5 linked regions of the Callithrix jacchus genome follow. The protein of the gene in region 2 purifies or fractionates together with the protein of the main gene of each other region. This does not show direct contact. Links are inferred from orthologs where the notes say so. Each region holds a gene or a part of one and is shown on either strand. Other genes may lie near its edges.

Evidence for each region.
Region 1: the proteins of COPS5 (region 2) and CDKN1B purify together in Homo sapiens (affinity purification with western blotting; 11 studies listed by BioGRID and IntAct, with this or other methods). This does not show direct contact. The link is inferred for Callithrix jacchus from reciprocal best matches to the Homo sapiens genes COPS5 and CDKN1B.
Region 3: the proteins of COPS5 (region 2) and JUN purify together in Homo sapiens (affinity purification with western blotting; 3 studies listed by BioGRID and IntAct, with this or other methods). This does not show direct contact. The link is inferred for Callithrix jacchus from reciprocal best matches to the Homo sapiens genes COPS5 and JUN.
Region 4: the proteins of COPS5 (region 2) and KLHL42 purify together in Homo sapiens (affinity purification with mass spectrometry; 3 studies listed by BioGRID and IntAct, with this or other methods). This does not show direct contact. The link is inferred for Callithrix jacchus from reciprocal best matches to the Homo sapiens genes COPS5 and KLHL42.
Region 5: the proteins of COPS5 (region 2) and FBXO22 purify together in Homo sapiens (affinity purification with mass spectrometry; 3 studies listed by BioGRID and IntAct, with this or other methods). This does not show direct contact. The link is inferred for Callithrix jacchus from reciprocal best matches to the Homo sapiens genes COPS5 and FBXO22.

Annotation. Positions count from the first base shown.
Region 1 is NC_133510.1:10,588,244-10,594,522, forward strand, and holds the start of CDKN1B (cyclin-dependent kinase inhibitor 1B), read right to left. Parts: upstream 3,820-6,279; 5' UTR 3,344-3,819; coding exon 2,869-3,343; intron 2,356-2,868; coding exon 2,234-2,355; 3' UTR 2,226-2,233; intron 116-2,225; 3' UTR 1-115. UniProt on the Homo sapiens protein: Important regulator of cell cycle progression. Inhibits the kinase activity of CDK2 bound to cyclin A, but has little inhibitory activity on CDK2 bound to SPDYA. Involved in G1 arrest. Potent inhibitor of cyclin E- and cyclin A-CDK2 complexes.
Region 2 is NC_133517.1:22,929,886-22,935,551, forward strand, and holds part of COPS5 (COP9 signalosome complex subunit 5), read right to left. Parts: intron 2,653-5,666; coding exon 2,541-2,652; intron 1-2,540. UniProt on the Homo sapiens protein: Probable protease subunit of the COP9 signalosome complex (CSN), a complex involved in various cellular and developmental processes.
Region 3 is NC_133508.1:95,862,930-95,869,194, forward strand, and holds JUN (transcription factor Jun), read right to left. Parts: upstream 3,820-6,265; 5' UTR 2,849-3,819; coding exon 1,844-2,848; 3' UTR 566-1,843; downstream 1-565. Other genes in the region: uncharacterized protein LOC128928178, read left to right, coding at 5,090-5,091. UniProt on the Homo sapiens protein: Transcription factor that recognizes and binds to the AP-1 consensus motif 5'-TGA[GC]TCA-3'.
Region 4 is NC_133510.1:43,439,785-43,446,249, forward strand, and holds the start of KLHL42 (kelch-like protein 42), read right to left. Parts: upstream 3,820-6,465; 5' UTR 3,498-3,819; coding exon 2,626-3,497; intron 1-2,625. UniProt on the Homo sapiens protein: Substrate-specific adapter of a BCR (BTB-CUL3-RBX1) E3 ubiquitin-protein ligase complex required for mitotic progression and cytokinesis. The BCR(KLHL42) E3 ubiquitin ligase complex mediates the ubiquitination and subsequent degradation of KATNA1.
Region 5 is NC_133509.1:25,093,516-25,099,857, forward strand, and holds the start of FBXO22 (F-box only protein 22), read right to left. Parts: upstream 3,820-6,342; 5' UTR 3,792-3,819; coding exon 3,649-3,791; intron 3,293-3,648; coding exon 3,154-3,292; intron 1-3,153. UniProt on the Homo sapiens protein: Substrate-recognition component of the SCF (SKP1-CUL1-F-box protein)-type E3 ubiquitin ligase complex that is implicated in the control of various cellular processes such as cell cycle control, transcriptional regulation, DNA damage repair, and apoptosis.

The DNA of each region.
Region 1 (6,279 bases), on a different chromosome or scaffold from region 2:
ACAGGATGTCCATTCCATGAAGTCAGCGATATGTACTTTAAAAATTTTCACGTCTGTCTTCCTTGCTTCATCAAGCAGTGATGTATCTGATAAACAAGGAAACATATTCTTAATTCTGCAAAAGAAAACAAGACAGAATTAGAGGAAAACCACTAGAGTAACGTTTACAGGAATTATTTTGTCATTACGTTAGTGTGGAAATAAACTTGATGGGGAAAAACGTATGTACTCTAAGTCTGATGACTACTCATCTCCACCTAATATTCTCTTAACTGGATTTTTTTCCCTCTCCGATGCTGTGTACTTTTGTCTAGAGCAGTGGTTCTTAACAGTGGGCAGTGTTGCCCTTGCCCCCCAGGGAACATTTGGCAATGTCTGGAGACATTTTAGGTTGTCACACTGGGGGAGAAGATGCTGCTGGCATCTAGTGGGAAAGGCCAGAGATACTGCCAAACAATCTAAAACACACAGGGCAGTTTCCTACAACAAAGAATTACTCGGCCCAAAATGTCAGTAGTGCAGAGGTTGAGAAACCCTATCTAAAAAATCTAGGTCACAGACAAGTGGGAAAGAAACAGGAAAATTAGGAAACTGTAATAATTAAGGGTAAAAATTTACAAATTTTTTATTCATAAATTTATTTAAAAAATTAAATTTTCTTTAAATTAAAAAAATTTTTTTCTCTACTGTGACATATTAAATTTTCTAAATTTGAAAAATGATTAGGAATAAAAATTACAAAGGTCTTCCAGAAGAAAATTTTATTAACATCATTTTCAAAATATTTTTTTATTCATACACAGAATTTATTCATGAATCCTTCTGAGTAAGTTCTTACTAATATTTCTAGTATTCTTTGAACTGGCAATATTACTAACAAATGCCTCTCTGCGTGTCAGAATGGGGCCAGATCAAAATCCAGGTTTGATTCTCATGGCTCATCTGATGAGCTAGGTTACAAGTCACAAACCAACAGGAGTTGCGAGTGTCAAGGCTGCTTCGGGAAAATTTTCACCTAATTTTCTCACTTCATATGGTACTATGAAACAGGCTCTATAGTACCGTTCTGTATAAGCTCTGAAAAATACAAGGTATAGTGAAGTCGAATACACAATTTAAAGACACAACAAACCTGAATCCCACCTTAATCCCTGTTAAAATTTTTATAAATGAGGATTTAATAAGTTAACAATATTTATCAAGATCGCCTCATATGCTAAGCTATGTATGTGCTTTAAAAAAGAAAGAGGTCACAATCTTGGTCTATAAGACACTAAAAAACTTAATATGTATGTTAATTCGATAATTATGACTAGCTAATCCATGTACATTTGGGGGCTGAATTATTCAAATTAGCTATTAACGGTGATCAGATTGAGTACGGAAAAATCTCCACTTCCTTTGTGCTGGGTTGACCCACGGTCACCAGTCTTGATATTTACTACCCATTTCCCCTACAAATATCAAATCACCCTATTACAGCACAATTAGCATACACTGGCTGACCTGTTCACGGATTGCTTACTGACAGAGTTAATCTAACTTCTGCTTTGCAACTTGAGTGTTCCCAGAAATTGAGAAACTTTAGTAATTTTTTTATCTTTCCATTTTGCTTTTTGTAAATACTGATTCCTTCTCTCTACAAACTCTCTAGAACAGGGAAAGTGACCGTTTATGAAAATGTCAAAGACAGAACACAACATAACAACACCCTATTCACATCTCCAATCCCTTGCATCACCAAAGGTGAGCAATTTCTACCACATATTCCCCTCAAAATTTAAACTTAATTATGTATTTGCCATTTTTCCATGTATGGCTCAAAAATGTTACAGACTCAAACTGAACCTCTGGGAAATTAACTCTCATGAAGTGGGACTGAGGGAGTACCCCAATTCTTGTTCAGATGGGGAAAGAACTTATTGTTATATGTCTCAGTAGGACTCACAGAAAAATGCCCTTCCTACCCGACGGGGCCTTGGTTACAGTAGCTGCTCTGGTCTACTATTTCAAGAGAAAGTATCTTCGGGCAAAGAAACTTTGAAGAATTACAGTATCCCCACAGTGATTCCCAGCCTTCCCAATCGCTACTTTTTTGACCTCACGAAGTATAAACAAAACAAAACCCCACAGGCTTTTAATCTGCCAGCAAACAGTAAGATCAGGTGTCGTGGGTTCTGAAGGCCCTGGGTTTCAGTGCGTGCTCCTTTGCTGATCAAACCCACCGAACTGTTTACGTCTGACGTCTTCTGAGGCCAGGCTTCTTGGGCGTCTGCTCCACAGAACCGGCATTCGGGGAACCGTCTGAAACATTTTCTTCTGTTCTGTTGGCTCTTTTGTTTTGAGTAGAAGAATCTAAGAGTGGGGGAAATTTTTAAAAAGAACACACAATCTTTGTTAGAAAAAACAATGGATGCAGAAGTTGGCCCGATATTTAGGGGATGAAAAACCCACCACCTCCACCCACAATCCTGTATCCGTCATCCCAAATGGCCTTTAAGGGCACAAAATGAGGTTGTTTTCAAAAAACAGAAAGTGCATTCTCCGCCCCAGAGCGCTCTCGCTAGCCAGGAGGCGGACCATTGATAAACATCCCAACTTTGTCACATACCTAAGGCTGGCTAGTGGGAGGGACTGCGACGTCCTAAATTAGGGAAATTATCGGATCTTACCATCTCCAGTTTCTGACTTAAAAGTTACAAACAGACAAGCAGTGGGTCAGGTAGCACTGGAAACCTAAGACCAAAAAAGTTAGCCCTTCCAAAATTAAATCAGAATACGCCGGAAAACAAGCTGAGATTAACACCCTCCAGCAGGCAAAGCGGGCCCCCAGACACAAACAATCTACGGTTGGGAAGGGGCCATTACCGTCAGCTGCAGGTCGCTTCCTTATTCCTGCGCACTGCTCCGCTAACCCCGTCTGGCTGTCGGACGGATCAGTCTTTGGGTCTACCAAGTGCGTGTCCTCAGAGTTAGCCGGAGCCCCAATTAAAGGCGCCGCCGGGCGGCTCCCGCTGACATCCTGGCTCTCCTGAGCCGGCACCTTGCAGGCGCCTTTGGGGGGGCGCGGGGGTCTGTAGTAGAACTCGGGCAAGCTGCCCTTCTCCACCTCTTGCCACTCGTACTTGCCCTCCAGGGGCTTGTGATTCTGAAAATCGAAATTCCACTTGAGCTGGCTCGCCTCTTCCATGTCTCTGCAGTGCTTCTCCAAGTCCCGGGTTAACTCTTCGTGGTCCACCGGGCCGAAGAGGTTCCTGCAGGCCGAGGGCTTGGGGTGCTCCGCCTGCCTGGCGTCCATCCGCTCCAGGCTGGGGCTCCCGTTAGACATTCGCACGTTTGACATCTTCCCCCCGGGTCTGTACGGCCGCCTCTCTCGCACTCTCAAAAACACGAAACAAAACAAAACGCCCCTACGCAGCCCGAACCACACTCGGGAGCCCAGCGACTGCCCTCGGAGCCAAAAGACACGGACCCGGACGAGCCACGGCCCGAGCTACAGGAGCGCGCAGGGTCTGCGGGATGGGGCTGCGGAGAAGCCCCTGCCCAGCCGCCGAGTCTCCGCTGATCAAGTGGACTGGCGAGTGGGAGGGCGGGGAGGGGCGGGGAGGGGACCAGGCAAGCGGAGGGGGTGGCAAAGCCCGTCCGAGTCCGGGCGGTGCAAGCCCGCGGGTCCCGCGAACCCAGCCGCTCTCCAAACCTTGCCGGCGTCGGAGTCGCGGAGCCGTGAGCAAGCGGGGACAGGGGAGGGGGCGAAAAACACCCCGAAAAGACGAGCCCCCTTTTTTAGTGGCCCAATATGGCGGTGGAAGGGAGGCTGACGAAGAAGAAAATGATTGACACGGCTAGTCTATTTAAACAGAGGAGGAGATCCATTGGTTGCGGCGCCGGGAGCCGCCCCGCCGAGGCTGGCTAGCGCAGGCTTAAGGTGGCCCCGGCGCCGTTCCGCCTCCTCCCCGCGTTCCCGAGCGCGCCGCCTCCCCGAGCGCCGCCGGGACATTGGCTGGTCGCGTGACTGCTGGAGGTGTACTGCTGCCAACAAACCTGCTCTGGCTGGCCTCGGAGAAATTAAAATTAAGACAAACAAACTAGCCAAACGGCCGGGAAGCTGGGGCGGGGCCTGGGGTTCGGGGCCCGGCGCGGCGCCTAAGTCCCGACCTCCCGCTCCTTGCCCGGGAAGCCGGGGGCCTAGACCAGAGGACCTCGAAGGTCACCAGCAGCTCGCTTAGAGCCGAAGTGGCGAGCTGCCCCCAGCTCAACCTTCCCCAGTGGCCCCCACCTCGCGGCCTGTGGGGGAGGCCGTGGAGCGTTTGCTGGAGGGGCTGGGCACCGCCCCGGCCGGTTTGCCTTAGCTGGGGGTGGGTGGTAGTTCGCTCAGCCTTAATCCAGAAGTTTCTGCCATCCCTGGGGAGGTAGCAGGCCTAGGGAAGAAGCCAAGGCGAAGGTCTTTCTTTTAGAAATTAGCCAGGAGTAGACGCGGCACTTACCATAAACTCAAGCTCTCTCTCCATGAAAATTAAGAAAGGAACTCAAGATTTAAAAAAAAAAAAAACTCGAGTAGTCTCTCAAGTCCATTAATAAACGCTGTAGCTGTCCCAGACACATTCAGTTTTGAAAACCGAGGTTACACCCCTGGCCCAGGCTCTTGCTTCCCAAGCAGAGTTAAGGCCATGGACGTCGGCTGCGTGTGGGAACTGTCTCTCTCTACTTTTCAGTTCTTTCCCGGGATTGTAGCAGTTTCCTCTACCTGGGTCCAGCCGCCAAATACAACAGCTCCTTCCTTCCTCCACCCTTCTCTCTCACCAGATTTCACTGCTCCAACAAACTCAGAACAATATTCAGATGCTAGTGAATGCTTTCAGAGGGCTGAAGGGTGAAAATACTCCCCTCGGGGCCAAACTCCAGATGATGAAATGATTCTTAAAGCCACCAAACCATGTCCTAATGTCCGATATTCCAGCGTTTCTCTGCTCCCTTTTGCAGCTGGAAATTTCTCTCATTGTGGGCTTGAGCACCGTGGTGGAAGGTAAAGTAGGACGACGAGCAGGGCTGCCCTGAGACAAAGCTCAGTGGATCTTCAGCTGCTCTCCCCACCCCCATGCCCCGTACCCATCATCTCGGTTTGGGCCAAAGTTAATACATTTTGCTGGAAACCAACCTTCCGTTCTAGTATCACACGGCAGCCTAATTTTCTTATGCACCTATGCTACAGATGAACTTCATGTGTGGCTCGTTTTCTTAGCCACATCTTGTTTGTCCACTTTGTGTGCCTACCTCATCTCATACACTCCAGAATGTGACAGCTGGAAGGGACCTTCGGGACCCTGTGGTTTAACCCTCTCGTTTTTACCACGGAGGAAACTGAGACTCAGAGAGGTTTCCTGTCCAGGGACATGCATTCGGTTGGTAACGGATACAGGACTAGCTGCAGGTCTCCTACCACTCGGGTTGGTTCATTTTCTGTGCCTTTCCTTCCTGATGGTCCTCACTGGTTCAGGGTTTCGTCTGGGTTTGATTGTGCTGTAGTCTGCAGGTCCTGCTGTCTTACAAGTGACTCAAAATGGCTCCTTCCCAGGCCCTGGGTTGCCTGCAGATGTTTCCTTGATGCGACCTGTGGTCGCTGATATTTAAATGCAGCTGTCACAGTCCTTTGGTATCACCATCCACTAATTCAACTAAAATACAGACTCTAGAAAAACAGGGGTGATACCCAGAGAGCAGTAAAGGAGGCGTGCCTAAACTTAGTTTTAAAGTCAGGACTTCTACCTAAGTGACAGAAAAGAATTCACCTAGGATCAAGCAGGAGGTTTCATCCTCTTTATTTTTTCCACTTTCAATGCTCTCAATTTATTGAAGACTGGGAGAGAAGGGACAGGAAGATTAGGGTAGGCCTCACTGCCGTAATTTATACCTTACTCCCCAAATTAGATAGCTATCCTAATTTTAAAACAATTGCTAGACAATACAGGAACCCTCTATTATATATGTGCATTTATCCATATGCATAAACACCCAAACTCCCACATATATGTAAATGGACACATTCTAGAGTATTTCACCTTGCCACAGCAGTTTGATTTTACTCGTGGAATTCATGTCTTATATGAAAGTGGAAAATTAACACTTCGATCCCCTTCACATGCTGAATCTTTCAATTAAGATGTAGGAGCACCATTTTGTCGCTTTTTTTGTTGTTGTTAATCTCGACAAGTAAGCAAGTCACAGTCACGCCACCTTAAGAGGTCTGGCTGCCAGCAGAAAGGCTTTGCTTACAACGACCTC
Region 2 (5,666 bases):
AAAAAATATAAAAAATTACTCAGGCATGGTTGTGTGCATGTCTGTTGTCCCAGTTACTCAGGAGGCTGAGGTAGGAGGATCACCTGAGTCCAGGAAGTCCAGGCTATAGTGAGAGATGATTATACCACTGCACTTCAGCCTGGGCAACAGAGTGAGACCCTGTCTCAAAAAAAGAGAGAGAGAAAAAAAGAAAGAACAGAGAGCTTGTCAGAGTTCTATTTAAAATAATAAAAAATACACTGCTTCACTTGACTAGCCTAAAAAAAGAACAGTTAAATAATAGGCTAAAGTGAGGTATTTTTCCATGCATATAATGCACCAAATAAAAAAAAATTAATGAGGCTTTATCATATGCCAGACACTTTGCTAATTGCTTTATATAAAGTAGCCCATTTAATTTTCTCAGAGTACTTAATGATGTATGTAGTATATCACCATTTTACAACAAAGAAATGCTTAGTTACATTAAATAACTTTCTGAAAGTCGCTCAGAACTAGTAAAGTGGCAGAGTTGTTTTCAAAGTCAATTTTATTTTTTAGGATATCATTTGCTTATTATACAAGAGAGACATGGAAATTATTTATATAATTAAGTATTTCAGAACTTACGTGCAATGAGCGGCTTCATGTTGATGGCATTTCATTAGTGATTTACTTTAGTCTACATACTTTCTAAGAATGTCAGCATCTCTAAATAATCTGGCTGGGCATGGTGGCTCACAGCCTGTAATGCTAGCACTTTGGGAAGCCAATGTGGGCAGACTGCTGAAACCCAGGAGTTCAATGCCAGCTTGGGCAACATGGCAAAGCCCTGTCTCTACAAAAAAAATACAAAAATTAGCCGGGTGTGGTGGCTCACCCCTATAGTCCCAGCTACTTGGGAAGCTGAGGCGAGAGGACTGCTTGAGCCTGGGAGGCTGAGGCTGCAGTGAGCCAAGATTGTACCACCACACTCCAGCCTGTATGACAGGGACCCTGTCTCAAAAAACGAAACGAAAACACAATCCTTGGCTTTCCAGGTCAACTGAATAAACCTAAAGAATGGCAAAGTAGTTCTTTACTTTGGTGCTTTGGTACCTCCATATTCAGGGAGAATAATTCTTTATCTCTTACTTTCACATTAACTGGTTGAATCCACCTTTTCCTTGAAAGCGTGATCCAACAGCTACTACTGTTGCTTGCAATGCTTTACCTTAAGATTTTTCTGGAAGCATAATGCCTTCTTTAGTTCCAGCTTCAGCTGTACTCCTTTCAACCAATACTTGATCAAAGAGCGTAAGAAACTTCTAAGTGATGGTCCTACTATGACTCCTGCTGCTGTAGCTCATATTCTCCAAGCCCAGTTTATTTTATTCTAAATCCTATGGTTCTAACTACTATATATACTGCAGTATATGAAATGGCCTGCTTTTTTAGAAAAGTAAAAAAATTGTTCCTAAGTTCTATATATAGAGAAGCTGATTAAATATCCTTCCAAATATTTTGGGTTTTTATATTATCAGAAAAAATTCAGTGACCTCTTTTTTTTTTTCCCTCCCAGCATCTACTGCTTTAAGGTAATGCTATTCTGATTCCCTTTGGGAACCTCTCCTTCCCCGTTTTTAGTACTTGAGCTACTGAAGGAGTTTTCTACACTGTGGCCCAGCAGTAAAGCACTTGCCATGGCCAAAGCCATTCATCAGGCTTATTCAGTTGGCCTTAAAATGGGCATGTGATTAAGTAAAGCCAGTCAGACACAATGAAATTTTGCATGGGGGTGTGTGTCTGTGTGTATGTGTGTGTGTGTGTCCTAAAAATGGGCATGTGATTAAGTAAAGCCAGTCAGACACAATGAAGTTTTGACTGGGAGAGAGAGAGAGGGTGGGGGGGGGGGGGAGAGAGAGAGAGAGAGAGAGAGAGAGAGAGAGAGAGAGAGAGAGAGTGTGTGTGTGTGTGTGTGTGTGTGTGTGTGTGTGTGTATCTTGACCATCTCTTTCTTTGAACATGAAACTGAGAGGCCTGGAGGTCTAAAGCTAAAGCTGCTGTCTTGCTTTCACATGAAGCCTGAAACTAGCAGTAACTAAGATGAAATCAATGCTAAGAGAGAAAAAACACAAGATCTCATAATATTGTTTGAATGAAAACTTAGCTGTGCCTAAGTTAAGCCTTATTCCTCAACTTTGCAACTTACGCAGTTCTCTTTCTTAAGCTAATTTCATTAGGTGTCGTGTTACTTGCAACCAGACTCCAAGCTGAGACACCTGATACACAAAAATCAATATTTGTATATTTTTTATCCATAAATCTCCTTATGGCAGGAGCAGATCTCACCCTGATCTGGCCACTCTATTTGCTACTTAGACTTTGTCTCTATGGGTCATGACAAAAATCTTGAATTGGCCTAGCATCCTAATCCCACTCTGGTGGTGCAGAATCTCACCTCAGCCTTGGTGTCTTGGCCAAGTTAGGTACTGCCTTTCTGTGAAACAGTGTTTCAGATATTAAATGGCTAAGTAGCTTAGATAAAATTCAAATGCATTCCTTGCAAGTATAATACTTACAGTAAGCAAGCTAGAGGAACTCAATGTATTCACCCAGTATTTATTCCACAACAGCTCGAGCAATTTTCGATCCAAAGAGGATTTGAAATATGAGACCTCTAAGGCATAATATCTATGAAATAAAAGCACAAAATTTAGTAAGTGAAAAAAAATTCAACTACATCACATAAAAGTTATGGCCAAATTTAAGTGAATTATACTTTATTCTCAAATTATCCCTTATTCTCATGTTTTAGTTTTTATTCCAACAAGGTAATAGCTAACCATGGTTTCTTTACACTTCAAGGGTTGTGGATCCAAATCTTCTACTAAACATCCTTGTTTTATTCCTTTTATTTCTGTAGAGCCCAGAAATTCCCAAGATGTTATTAACCAGTCAAAACTTCTGAATGACAAGTTTATTCCTGTTGCTGAAAAATTGAAGCCAACAGCACATAAATTTAATGAGCTGCCTCTCTAGGGTAAATTATAATTTTTGTTAGCCACTTTAAAATAATAAAAATCTCATGTGGATTTGTTTCCCTTTCTAGTTCCCTATTTAGGACCTACTGCATTTTGGAAAATCAAATTTTTTAGGTAGGTCCTTAAGGCATCTAAAAAAATTGCTCCCACTTTCAAAGGTGCCTAATTTATCATCAGGGCATAGTAAGAAAAATCTAGAAGTTAAATGTCTGAAAATGCATTTTTTAAAAATTTAAACTATCTCAGTTGCTTCCGTGTAACAATGGATATAAAAAAGCATAAGAGACATCTTTACCTTGAGGAAGTCACCATTTATATGGGGGATGTGGTCTAAACCCACCAAAACATTAAATGTAATGATGTACATTGAATAACAATAAGTGATGCTATAGTGCTATATAAAATGAACCATCCACCAACTAAGGGTTAGAGATAATAAGTACTCTTCATGTAGAGGAGCTCAAGTGATCATCTGGAGCTAGAATTGCCTGAGAAGTCTCAGGGAAAAGGCAAGGTGTAGGGTAACCATTTATGAATCTATCGTATGGATATGTGAGAGCAAGGGGGACATTAGGCAGAGAGCATCAACACACAAAAAGGAAAGACATGTAAGGGATAATAAGGTAATGGGTTTAGCTGGACAATTTAGCAAGAGAAGAATTATGTGAGGGGAAGCTAGAAAGCTGGGGTCTAGGTGGCGGAGGATGTTACATAAAAGGTTAAGAATTTTTTTTTTTTGAGACAAAGTCTTGTTCTGTCACCCAGGCTACAGTGCAGTGGAATGATCTTGGCTCACTGCAACCTCTGCCTCCTGGGTTCAAGTAATTCTCCTGTCTCAGCCTCCCAAACAGCTAGGACAGGCGCCCACCACCACCATGCCCGGCTAATTTTTTTATTTTTAGTAGAGATGGGGTTTTACCGTATTGGTCAGACTGGTCTCAAACTCCTGACCTAAGGTGATCTGCCTGCCTTGGCCTCCCAAAGTGCTGGGATTACAGGTGTGAGCCACCACAGCCGGCCAAAAGGTAAGAAATTTAGACTTTATCCTTTGGATAACTGGGACTCATGGAAAGTGCTTGAGTAGAATGGAAGGTACTTTAGCAGATTAATAATACAGTCAAAGGGGTGTTTTATAGAAGCCTGGCTGTGGCAGTACCATCAGGACATGTTACAGGAGAGAAACTGGAGGCAGGGATTCCACAAAGAAAGCCACTGCAGCAGAGCAGATGAGAAGAGACAGAGGTTCAGACTCAGAGATTAGTGGTGCAAAAGATAAAGACACATAGGTACCCCTTGTAAAACAGAATGCTTTTCTTCAGCCAGAGTCTTGCTCTGTCACTTAGGCTGGAGTGCAGTGGCGCAATCTGGGTTCACTGCAGCGTCTACCTCCCAGGTTCAAGCGAATGTCCTGTGTAGCTCCTGAGTAGCTGGGATCACAGGCATCTGCCAACATGCCCAGCTAATTTTTTGTACTTTTAGCAGAGATGAGGTTTCACCATGTTATCCAGGCTGGTCTCGAACTCCTGACCTCAAGTGATGCACCCACCTCAGATCCAAAGTGCAAGAATGCTTACTGATTAAATTTTAGCAATGAAGAAATATAATGAATTAAGCAGAATAAATTAAATAAAACATAAAGACATCAGGATGGGCACGGTGGCTCATGCCTGTAATTCCATAATCCCAGCTAGAAAACTAGCTGCCCCCTCTTTGGTAGACTCATAGTTCAGAGTGGCAAGGGAAGGTATTTGCCAAAAGAAAGTTATTTAATGCATGGTATGCAACAAGATCTTTAAAAAAATGTTATTTAAGAAAGAAAGGATAAACCAACAGAATAGACAAATGGGGACAGTAGATCTGCTCGAATACAGAAAACATAAAGCATTTCAATCTTTTTTGTTTCAAAGGATAAATCTTTGATACCACTATAACTCAAATAAAAAATAATTGAGAGTTCCTCTGAAGATTAAAGTATCACAGCAAAGGTGTTTCCAGGCTTAGGAGCAATTCTCTCAAACAGGAATTATTTAAATTCTTTTTAATAGGGCAAATTAAATAATGAACACTAAATCTCTATGTGAATATATATTTGTTTAGTTGGGCATGGTAGTGTGCTTGTAGTCCTTGAGCAACCTAGTGAGACTCTGCCTCGAATAAAAAAACACGAACCAAAAAGGAAGAAAAGATCATTGTATTTACAGAAATAAGTCAGAGATTACTGAAAACCACATATAATTAAAATTTCAATTTTAGAAATTCTAGAATTTTCTAAGAATCTCTAAATAGAAAAATAAGTGCAGTAGCAGCACATGGGTAGCCAAAGTATTCTTTGAAGTTACAATAAGTGGTATAGAGAAAAGGGGGCACTAGATAATCACTTATTCATTTAAGCAGTAATTTTTTTGGTGCCTACTCTGCTGTGTGCCATGCCCTGTTTTAAACGCAAGGATACGCAGTTCACATTCTAAAGGGGTCAAAAAAAAAAAAAAAAAAAGAAGCAAAAACATCAGATGGTTGCAAGTGCTAAGAAGAAAAAGTAGGGAAAGAGGAAACAGAAGGTGTTATTTTCCATAGGGTGACTTATGAACATTTTCTATTATGATGACCCTGCAAACAGATACTCAATGCTTAGTTAGCGAGCCACATGGAAATAAGGGAGAACGC
Region 3 (6,265 bases), on a different chromosome or scaffold from region 2:
ACTGGCTCTTGGGATGAAAAGCAACCAAGCAAAAAATTGCTCCCTTGTTGAGCACTGCCTCGTTGATCTCCTAAGTTATATCTGTAGACAGAATTTAAGTTTCTCGTTTCCCAGAGCTGGGGTTTGATTTACACATGTAATCATTGTGTTGGTGTTCATGTTTTCTCTTGCGAATCTTTACCATAGTATTGGATTACTGTCTTTTGAGACTGATTCTCTAATTATTTAAACAAGGTTATTTTAGAAACAAATTAAGAAATAAACTATAGACAGATCTAAAATGCTAAACTGCTAGTTTCCTTAGACATAGGTGTTTATTTGGGGGTGAGGGGTGGTAGTAGAGAGAGAGACAGAGATGGAGAAAGGGCAGGGGGATTAATGAAATTGGGAAACTGTTTCATCCAGATCACCACTTCTAGTTTGACTTTCCCTAAATATTTTGCTTCTTAACTTACGAGTCACACTTCAGATTGCAGCAATGTTAACCTCAGCAACTGAAAAGAAATGCTTCAGTATGTAACTTGGGAAGAAAAAAGTAGTAAAGGGAAGCAATTCAAGATCGTTATTGGTATTTGAATACATTTATTGTGACAAGAATGCTGTTATAAATATTCATAAGCAAAGGCCATCTTTTTTATCTAGGAATTGTCAAAGAGAAGATTCCAAATTGGAAGGATACATTTTTTGTAAAATCTGCCACCTATTCTGGCTTTGAGAATAAGCATCTATTGTTAAATTTCTACTAACATTATAAATGGTCACAGCACATGCCACTTGATACAATCTCAAACTTTGAAATGTTTGAGTTCCCAGTGGGCCGTCCCTCTTCACTGCAACCCCCCAACCCGTTCTTCCAGCCTCCTGAAACATCGAACCATCCTTTGGTAAGCAATTCCATATAGACAGCTGGGGGAAGAGTATATAACCTGACCATAGCATCAGGTACATTTATTTCTAAAGTCTAATAGAGAACAGTTTTTACTGCTTGATAGTAAGAAGCACTGAGAGAGATTTTAATTGACATTCTTAACTTTCAACTCCACTTAGATAGCTAGTATCTATAGATGATGCAGAAAAGAGGTTAGGGGAGTACTTTTCAATAGTTTATTGCATTTTCTTAAATATCCTTTCTGGAATTTTCAGAAACAAAACATAAAAAAATTATATACTTTATTACAAATGGTAAACTCAGAGTGCTCCAAATCTCTTATTTACAAACAACACTGGGCAGGACACCCAAACAAACAAACAAGAAATAACTTACAAAGGCATGAAGCTGTTTATTGACAGTAATCAGCTTTCATCAAATTAAAAAAAATATATATGTACATACACAGTTAACGAAGGCAGGCCAGAAAGAGTTCATCTGCAGGCTCAGCCTCGCTCTCACAAACCTCCCTCCAGCCGCCCCTCCCCAACCCTCCCCCCCACGCTTTGTGTTCTTAAGGAGTACTACAGAAGCAATCTACAGTCTCTATTGCAGTTTGTAACCCCCTCCCCCTCCCCCCTTTAATACTGAATGAGATCGAATGTTAGGTCCATGCAGTTCTTGGTCAATGTTAACGAAAAGTCTAACGTTCCGTTCGCGCGGGGACAGCCCATCCGCAAAGCCGGGCAGCCCGCAGACGGCCGCTCCCTGGCTCCACGCCAAGGGAGTGCGCGCCAAGTCCTTCCCACTCGTGCACACTGGGGGCGCCGTCAGGACGCAACCCAGTCCAACTTGGATACCCTTGGCTTTAGTTCTCGGACACTTCTTTTTCCTCTCCGCTGCAACTTGTCAAGTTCTCAAGTCTGTCTCTGTTATTTTTTTCTCCGTTGCCCCTCAGTCCCCGACAGTCTCTCTTCAAAACGTTTGCAACTGCTGCGTTAGCATGAGTTGGCACCCACTGTTAACGTGGTTCATGACTTTCTGTTTAAGCTGTGCCACCTGTTCCCTGAGCATGTTGGCCGTGGACGCCAGCTCCGAGTTCTGAGCTTTCAAGGTTTTCACTTTTTCCTCCAGCCGGGCGATTCTCTCCAGCTTCCTTTTTCGGCACTTGGAGGCAGCGATGCGGTTCCTCATGCGCTTCCTCTCTGCCTTGATCCGCTCCTGGGACTCCATGTCGATGGGGGACAGGGGCGGCGTCTCGCCGGGCATCTCGGGCACTGTCTGAGGCTCCTCCTTCAGGGCCTGCAGTCGCGGGTGCTGCACCGGCATCTGCTGGGGCAAGTGGTGGGGCGGCTGCGGCGGCTGCTGCTGCTGCTGGGGTTGCGCGGGAAAGGCCAGGCCGGCCGCGCCGTAGGAGGGCGCCCCGCCGCCGCTGCTCAGCGCTCCGGGGTTGAAGTTGCTGAGGTTGGCGTAGACCGGCGGCTCGCTGTGCAGGCTGGCGCTGAAGCCGCCGCTGCCACTGCCCCCCGCCACCGAGGCCACCGCGGGAGCCACCATGCCCGCCCCGCTGACCGGCTGCGCCGCCGACGTGACGCTGGGATGTGTGTTCTGGCTGTGCAGCTCGGCCAGGGCGCGCACGAAACCCTCGGCGAAGCCCTCCTGCTCGTCTGTCACGTTCTTGGGGCACAAGAACTGGGTGGGGGTCGGCGTGGTGGTAATGTGCCCATTGCTGGACTGGATGATGAGGCGCTCCAGCTCGGGAGACGCCAGCTTGAGCAGCCCCACGTCGGGCGAGGTGAGGAGGTCCGAGTTCTTGGCGCGAAGGTGCGGCTTCAGGCTCCCCACTGGGTCGGCCAGGTTCAGGGTCATACTCTGTTTCAGGATCTTGGGGTTACTGTAGCCATAAGCTCCGCTCTCGGACTGGAGGAACGAGGCGTTGAGGGCATCGTCATAGAAGGTCGTTTCCATCTTTGCAGTCATAGAACAGTCCGTCACTTCACGTGAGGTTAGTTTGGGCTGCGCGCAGAAGTTTCGGGGCCGCAACAGCGCTCTGGCAAGCGGGGTACACCCGCGTCCCCCCGGGCCTTTGGCGGGGAAAGTTTCTCTAAGAGCGTGCGCGCCTGCTGGCAGTCGTCCCCGCTGCGCCCTACTCACCAACTCGCTCCTGGGAGCGCAGGGTTAATTAAGATGCCTCCCGCACTCTTACTTGTTGGCTCGCGCGCGCTGCCCGGCTTTGAAAAGTCGCGGTCACTCACTGAGCGATCTTCGGTCGCAGCGGTTCCTCGGAGCCCGCGGGCGAACTCACTTCCAGGAGCGGCGGTTCTCCCAGAGGCGCGGATCAGTGCGGACCCCGCAGTGGCCAGCCGGCGGCGGGTCTCGGCCGCCCGGACTCCGACGACTTGTCCCCTCCTCCGCTGCGAGGGGGAGGGGGCGCCCGGCAGCCGCGGCTTGCGCTCGCCCAAGTTCAGCAACCAGTGCGAGCGAAGCTGAGCGCACGTCCTTCTCTCGCGCGTCTCTCCAACGCCTTTTGGTCTTTACCGCCGTCGAGCAGCCTAAGGCGCAGGAAAGGCTTGCAAAAGTTCGCTCCGGGACTCTGGGCCACTTGGCCCGGGTCCTCCCAGCCGGGAAAGTTCTTTGCCGCTGCAGCCGCTCGCCGACGTCCCCCGGCGGGCGCGTGGGTACCGCTGCTCTCCGCCGCTGTCAGCAGCGCTTGGGCAGCGGGGTTCTTCTCCCGGGGGCGGCTGGAGACCAGGCTCTCCCCGCACTCCTCGAAACACCAGCCCCGGAGCCACAGGCGCTAGCTCTGGGCAGTTGGAGAGAAGATGGAAAAGAAAAGATTTGCAGCTCGGACTCTACTGCAGTCCTGGCTGTCTGGCTGTGTCTGTCTGTCTGCCTGAGACCGCGCACCTCCACTCCCGCCTTGCTGCTTCAGCCACACTCAGTGCAACTCTGAGCCCTTATCCAGCCCGAGCTCAACACTTATCTGCTACCAGTCAACCCCTAAAAATAGCCCATGATGTCACCCCAAGGCTTTCCCATTGGCTCGCGTCGCTCTCAGGGGGGCGGGCCCGCCCGTCGCCATGGAGACTCCACCCTAGAAGATTCTTCTCTAGGCCCGCGGAGGCTCACGGGATGAGGTAATGCTCCGTTGCCCTCCTACAGTCGGTCCCTTCTTTCTCCTCCCCTCCCCCTGCCGCACGCCTCTCGGCCCTCTCTTCCCTGGTCTCCTCCCCCGGCCGTTTTTGCTGGCCCGCCCGGTGCATTGTGGGCTGACGTCTTGGGGTTTGACTGTCTAGTGACGGTGGCTGCCGCGAGCGGGCGGACGCTCGCAACGTCTCTGGGGTGGGGGGGGGCGCTCAAGTTCACGGCTCCGGACAGGGATGCAGAGATGCAGGGGATAAGGGGACGCGGGAGGCCAGGGAACCCGGCCAGTTGTTGGGGGCCAAGGGTGCGGGCGAGGGGTGGTTGGGGTTTCTCCACTTGTGGGGCTCGAAGTCATCCGCCGGCGTCTGCCACCGCGCGGGGCAGGAGGCTGAGAATCCAAGTCTGTGGCCCCCCCCGCGCACTTCCGGGGGCGGGAGCACCGCCCTTAAGGTGGCTCTGTGAAGTCCCAGTTGGGGGCGAGCCTAAGGGCGCTTAAGTTTGGGGGCGGTCTCGCGAGAGTCGGCCCCCCAAGTTGAGAACGCTCGGAACTTTGTCTTGGTCTAGTTCAGGAGCGATGGTCCGCGGGGTCGTCTGGCTGCTCATAGAAGCCGAGAAATTTGTATTGCCCGAAACTGAACGCTCAGCTGAGTCTCCGTTGCACCTCTCTTCATCCTCCGGGGACGCGGGGGTTCATAGCTTTGCCTTGGAGGGGCAGTTTTTATAGTGAGAGCAATTAGTGGGTAACAGGGTCCAGATGGGAACAAGCATGTAGGCAATCCGAAACTTGGGGAAGCCCGGTGTTAGTATACTCCCCCTCCCGCCCCCGGACAACACGCACACGCTTAACACAGCACGCTCAACACACAGGCGCGCGCGCGCACACACACACACACACACACACACACTCCATCTGCGCCGTGTTGCTTCCGGGAAAACAAGCCCAGAAGGCGGCGGACGCTCGCATAAAGTCACGCAGTAGAACTCGGAGCCCGGGATAGAACCTGGACTTCAAATCTCTGCACTCCGGGCCGGGTTGTGGGCCCATATCCTGGGTAGCCTCTAGGAAGCGCTAGACACATGTAAGTGGTTCCTTTTCCGCGGTTGTTATTTTATCTCCCCACCACCCCCCCCGCCCCCACTCCTTAGGGACGAAAGTGTGTGGTGGAAAGAATCTTGAAGTCGGGAATCCTGGTTCTTTCGTGGCCAGGCTGCCACAGTGCGGAACGAGGAAATCATGGAACTTCTCTGAGCTTCATGTCCCTCATCTGCCGGTGGGGCCGATGCAGTATACCTCCCTGGGCTGCCAGGAGTTAGTGTGACAGGGTCGCCTACAGGACTAGGGAGGTGGTGGCCAAACAGCCCGCTTCCCTCCCCTGCCTCGCAGTTTCCATCCTCACAGAAGTCTAAACGGAATGCCAGGATATAAGAGTGCGATTTGGCAGGACCAGGTGTACTTTCCTGTGAGAAGCATCAGGGGGAGGAGGAGGGGGGAACAGGGTTAGAAGTCAGCTCTTTCCCAGGCCTCTGTCTAGAACTGGGGCTTGAAGTTGGACCTGCAGCAGTTTAAAGTTCTTAGGTTCTAAATTCGGACTTCACTGCTTCTGAACTTGGAATTCAGCCTTGGGTTCATTGCCCCCAGCCCTAAGGTATTTGCGGCTTTGAGTGTTCAGAAACCAACAGCAGCTGGTATCAGTGGGAAACCTGCCAACTTTTCTTCGCTCCGGGCACTCACCTAGCTTTCAGTGATCTGCAGAGGGTAACTGAAAGCCTACTGTGAGCCAGGCACTGAACTGGGGAGGGGGTGGGGTAGGTATACAGTGATAGCAAGATCCAGTTACTTCCCTCAAGGGGAGAACATTCTCCTTCTGTCTGTTGCTCTGAATCATTTTCTGTTGTAATAAGGGAGCTGTTGTTCTAAATTTTTTTATAACAGTAATAAAAGTAAGTTTCATGTATTAAACACTTATCTGCCAGGCATTCTCCTAAGCAATTTAAATATGCTGTTTTCTCCCCACAGCCGTCTTGAGAGACATATATTTTTATCCGGATTTGACATGTGAGGAAATAGGCCCAGAGAGGTTAAGTATCCTTGTTCAGGTCACACAGGCAGCTGGAAATTGACCTCAGGTCTGTGTTACATTCCCTTGTATTTTCTCTACTCTGGTAAACTTTCTTGTGAAGTATTAGTTATCTGCAGAGGAAATAGCGCTTGTGGCACAGAAGAAATTTTTTTTCTTTATCCTCTGATTGTAC
Region 4 (6,465 bases), on a different chromosome or scaffold from region 2:
CCAGCTTCAACAAAACTTGAGACATGCATACACTTTGCCCTACTTATCCAGGGATTCCACAAATTGGACATATGAAACCAACCCACATATGCCTACTAAGATACACAATGCATCTACCAGGATGTTCAATATGGCAATGGTTATTGAAACAGCTAATGCAAATGGAAGTGACCTAAATGTTCATAAATAAGGGAAAGGCTGACCACATTATGGTACATCCCTAGGCTGGAATGCCATACAGTCATTAAAGAGTGAGGTAGATCTACATTTGTTGACACAGAAAACAATTCTCAGATATGGTTAAGTGGAAATATCAAGTGCCATAATAGTTAGTACAACCTAGTCAATTTTAGAATTTAAAAAACGTGTAAGTTAATATGCATACCCCCATGCACATTAATATACATAAATACTTTTCCCCTATTGCTAACCACTATCAACATACTTATACAGCTGGCCCTTTCACAACACAGGTTTGAACTGAGAGGGTCCACCCATATTCAGATTGTCTTCTGCCTCTGCCACCCAAGACGGCAAAACCAACCCCTCTTCTACCTCCTTCTCCTCCTCAGCCTATGTAACATGAAGAGGATGAGGATGATCCACTTCTACTTAATTTTCTCTTCCTTAGAGTTTTAAATAACATTTTATTTTCTATAACATACTCTATTGTTAGAATGAAGTATATAATACATATACAAAACATGTTAATTAAGTTATTGGTAAGGCGTCTGGTCAACAGGCTATTTAGTAGTTGAGTTTTGGGAGAGTTAAAAGTTATATAGGGATTTTGTACTATGCAGGGCTGGTGTCCCTAGCCCCCACATTGTTTAAGGGTTAACTGTATTTATATTAAGTATATATATAATTTACAAATATAAATGTTTATACATTTATAGTATCTAAAGGTAACAAAAGTCTGTTGATAACAGTCTTTTTTTTTTTTTTCTTTCTGTACCCTGAGAGCAGACATTTACTCTACACTTTTTTGGTGTAATTTGCAGTTTTTCTGAGAAGCATGCATTCATGCATTACTTGAATGCTTTTTTTTTAAGGGGATGAAAAGGGCCTTCCCAGAAAAAAAGACAAAGACTACCAAGGATGTATGAAGGGAAGAAGAAATGTGAGGTACTGTGACACTAAGGATGGCCTGGTGAGCACCAAATGATATGCAGCTGGAGGCAAGTGCAAAAGGAGACAGAGAACTCAGGACTGTCCACCCTTACTCAGACCACCGCCTATAGCCACACAATGTTCCTTTGTTGTTTAAATTACAGCGCATAGAATTTGTTTTAAAATAACCCTCCTGATACCAAATTTTAAACATGGCATCATCTCAACGGCGTAAATAATGCATTAAAAATGGGCTGGCAGGAAATACGTCAACCTGCAGTTACTGCCTCTAGGAGGAGCGAGTAGGAATATTCATCTTTTTGCTTCTTCATTGTTTTTCATTTTCTAGTTTTCTGCAACTATATATTATCAGGCAAAAAAAAAAAGCATACTTTTCAAAATGAATTTCATATTATAGGAGAAAGCAAGCCAGTTATTTCCCCAAATGATCCCTGGCGTAGGAGGACCCTCAAGTCCAATAGATATATAATGGCTTCACTGTTACTGTTAAGACTTTCTTTGCCTAGCTATGAGTTCCCCAACTCCTTGCTCCACACTTCAGGACCAGGATCCTGTGAGGACTGAGGTGGAAACAGGTGGATGGTAAGAAAGGGTATTTTCATCCTTTCTTGAGATACATGGATTCTTTTCCCCGCTTCCGAATGACTCTGAGGCCTCCTGGGTGCTACCATCTTTATTTCCTACCATCTCTTCCTGTATATGCTCTTTGCTCTTGTTTTCATATTCTTTCCCTGGTTCCTTTCCCTTCTCCCCTCTCATCCCACTCCCCAAGCTCCTCCTCTTCCTTTCTTCAAGCCACCCAAGTTGGTGGCAGGAAGGATTCGCAGGATGGGAGAGGGAGAAGATTGGATTAATGAAAATGTTCCAATTCTGAAGTTGAACACTTCCAGCCTCGAGCTTTGGGTCAGTGATGATGGCTGTCCAGGGAAGGAAGCAAAAGAGAGGATAAAATAAGAAAAGCAACCCCTACTGCAAATATAAACACATTTCCCGTAATTATCTCTTGATCATGGCTGGATGTCACAGTGTGGAAGGCTCTGTTGTCATAGTCACTGACAACAGAAAAACAAAACAAAACCCGAAGTCAGTGTTACAGGTTACTGTCCAATGTATCATTATCATCAGGCTCACACCCTAAAAACTAAGACAAAACTTCTTTTCAATTAAGGAGTAACTTTCTTTTAAAGTAATTCTTGTAGGAAACCACAACATCTTTTTTCACAAGGACAGAGCCACAGAAAGCAGTTTCACTTAAAGGCACAATACCTGCCAAAAAACCACTCAGCTACTTGACCTCACTGGGGACTTCCTCTTTGCAATTTCTTAGTTCACCGGGAATTTTGCCAGGACTAAGGCCAACAACATTCCTGAAGATGTCATTTCCACCTCAGCACACCCTCCCCTATTTACTGGCTCAGTAAACACGGGGGCAATGAACTAATGAACAAGTGAATGAATGAGAAGGCATCAGCACTCTGCCGGGGTGCTTACCTCTTCTGGTTCATGGAGGCCACCTGGAGCCATTCGTTGGTGCTGGGGTTGTAGGAGTGCGCAGCGGAGATCTCCTGGCTGGTGATCCTGTACCCGCCCACTATGAAGAGGTAGTTGTCCAGGATGGCGGACCCATAGCCCCTGACATTGACCAGGTCGGGAGGAAGGTTGTTGGCCAGCGGGAACCAACGCTCAGTCATCTCCTCGTACCTGAGCATGGACGGGGGCTCCCCCTGGTAGGGGTGAGGGGCCAGGGGTCCCCCCAGGAAGTCACCAAGGGCCACGAGGACAGGAGTCCCAGTCATCCGGGCCTCCCTCAGCCTCTGCTTCAGGCTGACATCCCCTGGGGCTTGGGGAGGAGATCCCAGAAGGTGGAACTGGGGCTTGCACAGCACCTCGTGGAAGTGGACGACCATGAAGCGCAGGCAGGCCTCCTGCAGGTCGGGCAGCCCGTACACCTGCGCCAGGCGGTACATCTCCAGGCAGTTGTTAAGCCGCACCTGGGACAGCAGCAGCTGCAGCAGGGACGTGACCTGCAGGAAGGAGGCCGCCTCCACCAGCTCGGACAGCAGGCTCACCTCGTCCATCTCCTCGTCCTCGTCCACCCCGCCGCCCTTCTCCCCTCGCGGGTCCAGAAGCCAGCCTTCGCGGGCCCCACCGGCGTTGATGAAGTCCAGGACCAGACGCAGGCCTGGCGCGCTGAGGCCGCGCAGCTGCTGCACCTCCGGGCCGCCTGCTTCCTGGCTCAGGGCCTCGCGCATGCCGGAGCGGTAGAGGGCGCGGAAGTAGTCGCTCTGCTCGATAAGTTTCCTCTTGCTCACCGGATAGCAGCGGTCCTCCAGGCGGATCTGCACCATCTCCTCGGCCGACATGGCTGGGAGCCCCGAGGCGGCGGCGCTCACCGCCAGATCTGCGCGCTGGCCTCCCCGCCCCCACGCGCGCGCCGGTTCCGGGTGGGGCGCCGAGGGATGGCGGCCCGGGAGGAGCAGCGAGGTGAGGGCAACCCGCGCTCGCCCGGCCTCTCCGGCGGCCCCTCCTCCCGGGGCCCACTCCCGCGAGGCGGCGGCCCTGCCCTTCTTTCTCTCAGCGCCAAAAAAGGGCGGGCGCAGCGCGCCGGGCGTCTTCACGCTGGCTCTCCCGAGCGGCGCCAGGCGGGAAGGGAATCCTAGCCCTCAGCCCGCAGCCTCCTCCCCCGCCGCCCTTCTCACTTCCGCCCGCGGGACCCCAGCCGCCAGCCTGACCCGTTGGCTGCATCCGGCCTCTGGGAAGCCGGAGAGGTTAAGGGACGCGCGCCGGGGGAAGCGGGAGGCGGACGGCGCGCGTCCTCGCAACTTCTCCGCACGCCTGGGGCGCGCCGGCTCCGCCGCCTGCCCAGGTCTGCAGCGATGCTCCGGGGTATCCCCGGAAGAAGAAATCAAGTTTGTTTTCTCTCCCACGCTGCGTTACAGGGGCTAAGGAAAAGGCAATGAGCGTAGGAGGAAAGGGAAGGAGAGGGAGTCTGGTTCAGGGAGACAAAAGGCATCAAATGCGAGGTCACCCTTTCGCCCCATCGAGTGTCAGTGGGCTGAGGCACGCAGGCGATCTGTGGACATGCTTGTGGCACGTATAGCTGATTCTCTGGCAGGGTCGTCGCGTAGGAGCCATCTTACAGGAGTTCCACGCAGATGGCAGCAGGTTCTCAGAAGAATCGGGTTGGGAGGCAGGGGAGCTTGCATTTGCTGGTGGGGCCCGTTATTCGGTCCCTAAGTTATTTAAAGAAAGATGAAAGCGCAGCCCAAATAAAGTTACATCAGGCTTCTGGTTTTAAACCATGTTTTCCACGAGCCATTGCTTTTCTACTTAAGTCTGGCTGAACTATCTATTACGGAATGTTATCCTGGCGCAGGTCTGACAAAATTGGCTCATGGTTGTCTGCAGAGGTAGCTTTTCTTGTCACCCCCTTTCTCCACCTACCCTGCCCCCATCATCTGAGAACTATTAAGAGAGAGCACACGTGCAGTTTGGCCAAGGAACCCTAGCACTCTGGGAGGCCGAAGCGGGCGGATCATGAGGTCAGCAATTAAGAGACCAGCCTGGCCAACGTGGTGAAACCCTGTCTCTACTAAAAATACAAAAATTAGCCGGACGTGGTGGCAGGTGCCTGTGATCCCAGCTACTCGGGAGGCTGAGGCAGGAGAATTGCTTAAATCCGGGAGGCAGAGGTTGCAGTGAGCCGAGATCGTGCCACTGTACTCCACCATGGGCGACAGAGCAAGACTTCGTCTCGGAAAAGACAAACCACTTGTTTCCTATGTTCGCTCACTGAACATTGTAATTAGAAGGCCCACCCCAAATAATAATAGGAAGGGCTTTTTGTGTTGCTTATGAATTGATCTCAGGAAGAGGGTGGGGGAGAAATATATTGTTAGGGTTATCTTTGGGTAGGAAAAGAGAGAGCAGGATTGGGAGGATGCAGAGGGTGTTCACTCTTAACTTACAAAACAAAAACAGAAAACCTTGAAAACTTCCCCCAAACCAACATTTGAGAACCACCTATGATAAACAGTTCTTAACTTGGAGAGAATATGTATTTGGATTTTTTATTATTATTACAAGCTTCAGCTTTCTTCCTGAATGACAGGTTGTTAAATAATATCTTATTTAAAAAGTACATTTCCCCTATTTAAAGAAGATACATCCTACCATGTTATGTTAGGAAGAGGAAACGGTTAAAAAAAAAAACGGAAGAGGCCGGGCGCCATGGCTCAAGCCTGTAATCCCAGCACTTTGGGAGGCCGAGGAGGGTGGATCACGAAGTCAACAGATCGAGACCATCCTGGTCAACATGGTGAAACCCCGTCTCTACTAAAAATACAAAAAAATTAGCTGGACATGGTGGCGCGCGCCTGTAGTCCCAGCTACTCAGGAGGCTGAGGCAGGAGAATTGCCTGAACCCAGGAGGCGGTGGTTCCGGTGAGCTGGGATCGTGCCATTGCACTCCAGCCTGGGTAACAGCGAAACTCCGTCTCAAAAAAAAAAAACAGAGAAGTAAGTTGTAGGTGATATCCTTGCAACACAGTTTGGTTACATTCATGCTTCTCACTGTCATTTAACTGCTTCACAGAGAGGTGTTATCTTTATTATTATTATTACTTTGGAAAGGAAGTTTGTCTTTTTATTTTGGGGGGGGAAATGCATTTTTTTTTTTTCCATAGAGACAGGGCCTTGCTACCTTGCCCAGGCTAACCTCAAACTCCTGGCCCCAAGGGATCCTGCCACCCCAAGTGATCCTTCTGCCTTGGCCTCCCAAAGCACTACTGTGCCTGGCCTATTTTCCTTATAATAATGCTAGAAATAAGGAACTAAAAAATAAAAGACATATAAAATTTTCTATATTTTCTGGCCTCCCTGGAATAAATGAAGGAAATAAAAATGGATCTATGACTTATTCAGTTGTTTTCTTGGATTCTATTAAAAAATATGCATCTCTTCCCCTGGTTTCACCTGGCCTTTAAGTCGTTACTGATAAAACTCCATTTTCACACCAACCCTTCACACTTCCATTCTCTATGAGGGTGCAGTGAGGCATGATAAGCTTTGGAGCAGGAGATGGAGTGGGTGATCATGGATTTAGCAACTTCGTCGGGATGGTAGAGTATAACATCCAGTTTTAAGCGTCAGGCTGGGGAACTTTTGCTGGGAGGCGCCCCCTGTATCAGAGGCTTGGACCTACGATTTATCTGTGCCTCAACCAGCAACAATGCCAGATTCAGTGGGTCAGCCACAAAGAACAGGCTCTCAGTCTCTCCTCTGTCTCTTGAATCTTTCACCAATGGATGCTTTTGTTTCCCAACCGTCATA
Region 5 (6,342 bases), on a different chromosome or scaffold from region 2:
TTCCTATTCCTGATTAAAAGTCTGGTCCTGAGATTTTATGAGTTTCCCTTTCTAGCAGCCACTGAAAAGCAATTGCTGAATTTTCCTTCCTAATTCACACTAGAAGCAGTGACATAACAAGCCTCAATATGAAATGTTCTCAAAGCACAGTGTAAGAAAGCTAGCACCACATTTCACTGTTCAAAGAAGTTACAAATGGCAAGCTGTTTTATAAAGCTTTTGGTGGACTTGCACCACCACACCCATATTTTTGTAGTTTAATATTTTTATTTATATATTTAATATTTTTTCAATATTTTAATATTTTAAATATTTATATTAATATTTTTAGTGGAGACAGGGTTTCACCATGTTGGCCAGGCTGGTCTCAAACTCCTGACTTCAAGTGATCTGCCTGCCTCAGCTTTCCAAAGTGTTGCGATTTCAGGTGTGAGTCACTGTGCCCAGTGGACTTAAAATATTTTTAATAGAAAAGTTAAATCAACTTTCTTTATGGCTATAAACGTACCCATTGTCCACTAGATAACTTGGAAAACACAATCAGTAAGTGTGATTTAAGCAGAGTTTTCGTGTGTTTGTCTCACCAGCAGTTTACTACAATGCAGCACTCCTCTAAGGGCATTACTGAACTCTGTGAAGTTTAATAATGATACTAATAAAAGTATTTAATAGACCTCTATTGAGCACTTATACTCCCTGTACTATAGGTAATGTGTCATATGCATTACATTTTCATTATTGAATCCTTACAACAACTCTATAAGAGCACAGGAAAATTATTATTTTTCTTTTCATTTTATGGAGATGGCACCCGAGGCTCAGAGAGGTTAAGTAGCGTTTTCAAAGTCATCCCACTGTACACCAAAGCTAGGGTTCACAGCTAAGTCTGTCCGGCTATACAGCCACTACAATGTATAAACTCTTAAACCTACAGGAAAATAATGCCTGCTGGGGTAAAAATCTGAAAACGATGACAACGGAGAGAAAAGTTTTTAAAACATTAAATAGAAACAAAAGCTAACATTCTGGCTTTCTTTTCTACTCTCTTTTTTGTCTTTAACAATGCAGATGATACTAAATATGTAATTTCCCAGTCTTTTCACTTTTAAAATCAACATTTTCTCGTCATGAATGTACTTGCAGTTTATAATTTAATAACGTCATTACATTAACATTAGCTTTTTAGTATCTCTTATTATAAATGATGCTCCAGAGAATATTTTTGAGGAAAAGTCTGCCTGTACTTTTAATTTTTCCAAATGATAAACTTCTGGAAAGAGATGGCAAGAGTTGGGACAAAGTGCCAGAGAAGAAAAGTTTTCTAACAAGCCTGCCTTTGGATACTGGCCAGCTCCCTGGGATGAGAGTTCCAGAGCCCAAACAGGGTAAGGAGAAAGACCACCCAAGGAAGGGGGAAACAGAAGATTGGTTACGTATGGGGCATTGATGTAATACCTAAATACATTAAGAATGATGAGAACCAGGTTTCCCATTGCCCAAAGGGAGATACAGATACGAGCAGAGACAAAACTAGAAAGCATCCTGCGTTTGATTCGAAAGGTTGCACCTGTGTGAACTCATGAGTTTCCACACAGAAATATAGTTGTACACATGTGTATACATATATGCTGATTATATACACACATATGCATGTATATACATATATTCCTTGGCTCTAATGACTGAGCTTTGGAGCAGCAAATCCTTCAATGGCAAGGAGTACATTTAGAGAATCTAGATCTTGATTGCTAAATATCACACTCTATCAAAAGGAGCCAGGGTTTCATGGACAAATGGCCAATGCCAGGACCCAAGCAGGTAAAACCCAAGACAAGCTTAGAACACCTTGTGCCAGACAAGTGGTCAAAGATAAAGGAGTCATCTCTAAAGACAATGAGGTCAGCCTGAAGGAGCTCCCCCTAGCCAAACTGGCGTTGGGGGTCCGGGGTAAACTGAACACTAAAATAAATACTCACAGTAACAGATTATATCCCACTGAAATAAGACTTGGAGAGTGTGTACAGATATAAATAAACGAATAGGAAACACGACACTTACATAGTTTCAAATTATCTCTTCAAAAAACACTTAATCATTACAGAAGTGATTTTAGTGAAGAGACTTGGCCGGTACAACCTTAATCGAGTAATCAAAGGTTGTATCACCAATAAAGAGACAAATGGAAATCACATGCCACCTAAAGGATGCCGTGAAAAGAGCACAGCATGACTTCTGTGATTATTTCCTGCCAAACCTAGTAAGAAACACAACCTAGTAAGAAACCTCACACACTGCCAACTGATGGATGTTCTACAAAATAGCCTGTAATTTTCCTAAGTGTCAGGCTTGGGAAAAATCAAGCAAAGCTTGAGAAACTGTTCCAGATCAAAGGAGATTAAAGAAACATGACTTATTTAGAGCAACTTGCAATTGAGAACAGACCTTTTTTGCCATGAAGAACCTTACTGAGACAACTGGCAAAACCTGAACCGAGTCTGAGGATAAAACAGACGAAGTCTATCAGTGATAATTTCCTGATTATGACGGCTGCACCGTGGCTATGTTTGTAAGCCGCAGGAAACTAAAAAGAATGACAGAGCATCAGATTGGCACTTCACTGTCAAATGGCGCCCTCCCACTCCTCAGAGAGATGGTACACCCTGCAGCCCCTCTGACTCCACAGTCCGAGTCTTTACCTCTCCAGGTATTGGCTCCCCTTTTGAAGTTGGGGGCCAGAGAAGCCAAAGAGTACAGGATCGGGAGTTGAAATATTTGGCTTTAAGTTTTGGTTCTTGGCTTTCTAGGTGTGCTACACTGAGCAAAACACACCCAGTTGCCTTCCCAGTAAAACAGACACAACAAAAACTTGCTTCAAGGGAAGCAGGTGGAGATAAGGTTCTGCACATCGTTGTTGTTAATGGAAACAACGGAAACAATGGAAAATGTGGATTATAAGGCACAACATTTGATGAACGGTCAAATAAATCATGACACATTCTTACAGTGTAGTCACTAAAACTAATGTTCACAAATTTTTTTCACGGCACGAGATGTTCCTTGAATTAACAAAACTGGGATTAAAAAAAAAAATAGTTCTCAAAGACTGAACCACCAACCTGCAATTGACTGTGCATGACACCCCTTGCTACTTGCCTCAAGCTCCTCGGCTACCACGCGAACCAAGCAATGCCTCTCCAGGTGGCCGGCATCCGCCAGGCCTGCGGAGATCCAGGTCAAGCTCCGATGGGTCCGCAACACTCGGCGCACACACTCTCTCCATAAGCGGCACACGCTGGGGACGCAAACGCACAAAAGATCGCGAATGGACGTTCATTTTCGTCTCTCCCACGGCTCACAAACCCCCACCTGCAGGCGCAGCAGCAAGAGATCTCTGCGGGAACCGAAGCCCCCGGGGGAAGTAGGTATCAGGGCGCTGGTCAGTTGTGGAGAAAACCTTAAGGGGAACTTCACTCCTCAGGGAAGTCCCGGGGGCTCTACAGCTGGAAGATACCTCGCGGGTGGAGGTCACCTCAGTTAGGGCGAAGGAGCCGGGGGTGGTCCTGGGTCCCCAGGGTCTCTCCCCACCCCGCCAGCCTGGGATATGCCCACAGCGTGTCCCGATGCAAGCTTCCCGCCTCCCCTCCTCACCAGGCCACCCGCAGCAATGCCTTGGCGGGTAGGAAGGTGAGCACACGCTCCACCACCTCCGCCAGGTTACTCAACACGAAGGTGCTCCGTGGGTCTACCGAGGAGGAGCCGCAGCTGTCGCCGCAGCCACCCACCGGCTCCATTCCTCACCAGCCCGCCGGAACCAGTCCTACGGCGGCTCGGAGGGACCCAGTTTCGCCGGCACACGATTGCCCGGCCGGCGCGCACTGAGCAGGCGCCCGCACCACTTCCGCCTGACGGAGAAGGTGGGAGTGGCAACGCGGGTGCGACCCCTGGCCACCGTGTTTCCGGTGCAGGTCCTGGAGCCCTTGCTCTGAAGTTGAAGTTATCCGTCCCATAATACGCCCGAAATTTTTTTTTTTTTTTTTCATTAAGATTGGGTCTCGCTGTGGCAAGGCGGGAGTGGAGTGGCGCGGCCTCTGCTCACTGTAGCTTCTACCTCCCAGGCTCAAGCGAGCCTCCTGGCTCAGTCTCCCTCGTAACTTGGACTACAGACTCCCGCCACCATGCCCAGCTAATTTTTGTATTTTTTGTAGAGACGGGTTTCGCTGTGCTTACCAGGGTGGTCTCAAACTCCAGGGCTCAAGCGATCCTCCCGCCTGCGCCTCCCAAGATGTTGCAATTACAGGCATGAATGAGCCACGGTGCTGGGCAACTTTCTAGGAGGCTTCCTGCAGTGAAGATAAATTCTTTCTCTGTGCCTCTCACTTCCCCGGCACCGCCATATTTCTGAGCCTACATCTTTCTCTAATTCACAGATTCCTTGCAGGGACTAGGTAGTACTTACCCCAAAGCCTGTTTAAATAGCATAAACTCAATTTTTGAACTGACAGCGTTTGCTTTTAAAAAATTGTCTTAGTGTGTGAAAATCACTGCCTTTATTCCTTGTAAACTTAATTAACTCGTTGTCATCTTCAGGTTTAAAGTTTTGAATGAGTAAAATGGCATAAATAGCACCTGCCATTCTAAGGAAGTTAAGTAAGATAATTGCAGTGAAGCACGCCCCAAGCTGTGCACCAGTTCCCCGCCAGTAACATCTGATTCACCTGGGAACTATTAAGTTTTGGCACGTTCCCAGTCCTTAACCCCGACCTCCTGAATCAGACACTGGGGGTGAGGTCCAGCAATCTATGTTTTAACAAACTTTATAGCGATTCTAATGCATGCTCAAACTGAGAACCACAGAAGATATGGAAGCACAGCAGACACGGGTGCGTCCCCACCGAACATCCATTTCTCCCTCCAATTCCTTCCTAAGGGAGCCCTGATTTGATCGCCAGAACTTGAGTAGAAACTTGGTCTAAATTAGCGGTTCTCATTATTGCCTCAGGACCCTTTACGCCTAAAATATCCACACGACCAAATAGTTTTGTGTTACGATTATCAATATTTACCATATTAAAAAAATTAAATCATCTTAATACTTTTAAAAAACATGTTACCCCTTAACAAAATATTTTTGTGGAATTCAACTATTTCCCAAATCTTCCTTCCCCCCGCAACTGGTAAATAGGGTGACACTGTCACTGGTATAAGCCTCTTGAACAGCTGTGGCTTTTTTTTTTTTTTTTTTTTTTTGGTAGACATAGAGAAAGTTCTCTCTGTTGCCCAGGCTGGTCTCTAACTCCTGGCCTCAAAATATCCCTCTGCCTCCACCTCCCAAAGCGTTGGGATTCCAGGTATGAGCCACCAAGCCCAGCCAGTTTTTTTTAAGTCTATAGGCACAGCTACTTAAGGAAGCCAGGTGGCCTAGTTATCACCAAAGCTTCCTGACCCCTTGCCAAATACCAGAAGATAAACAGGCAACCTCCAGTTACCTTTGGATCATTAACATTATAATGCTGAAATCCTCTCCCCTGAAGGAAGATCACTGGCATCTTAGCAGCATGTTCAGGGACTGGGCCTGCTTGTCTGCAACTCCAGCCTGCGCATGCCCTTCATACCACCGCCCCCCTCGCCCCCCGCTAGGCCAACTCTTTCAACTCCCCCGCCTCCCATCCTTCTGGAAAAAGGTGCCTTTAGAGGGTTAGCTCCCCTTCTCCATTCTCTGGCTACTGAATGAAACCCGATTGCCATTCTGAGTAGACATTCTTTCTTTGTGGCTGATGTAAAGTAGGGAAAGAGGACAGTTTATAGTTCCTTCTGTCTTAAGACAGGTAGATTCTCTTGTTTGCTTCTGAATTCAGTCTGTTGCAAAATTACATCACGTAGCCTCTGGAAAACTCCATTGTACACTCGTGAAGGAATGAGTGAAAATAGCAAATGTTTTAATATTATGAAAATAGTCTTTTAAAACTTAAAATTGTCTCAGGGGTCTCCAGTGTTCCCCACCAAATCACACTTTAAGAACCATTTGTGCAACTAATCATGATGGTTTCATTCTTTTCACCAGCCATTGGTTTGGGGGTAGGCGCAGGCCCCTGATCTAACCAAGGAAAAGTGAGAGGCAGTGTGCTTGATGGGATGGTGCTTTTAGAGATTTCCTCACCTCCTAAGGAGATACTAAAAGGCAGGCATTATCTGTCTCTGGATCAAGTAATGTGGCTGCATATATGCCACCAAAAGATGAAACCAACATAGAAAAAAATCTCAAGGAAGCAGAGCAAAACCCATATGTACAGTTACCTGGAGTTGTCCTACCTCTGGACTTCTTGTATGTGAAATAACCTGTCA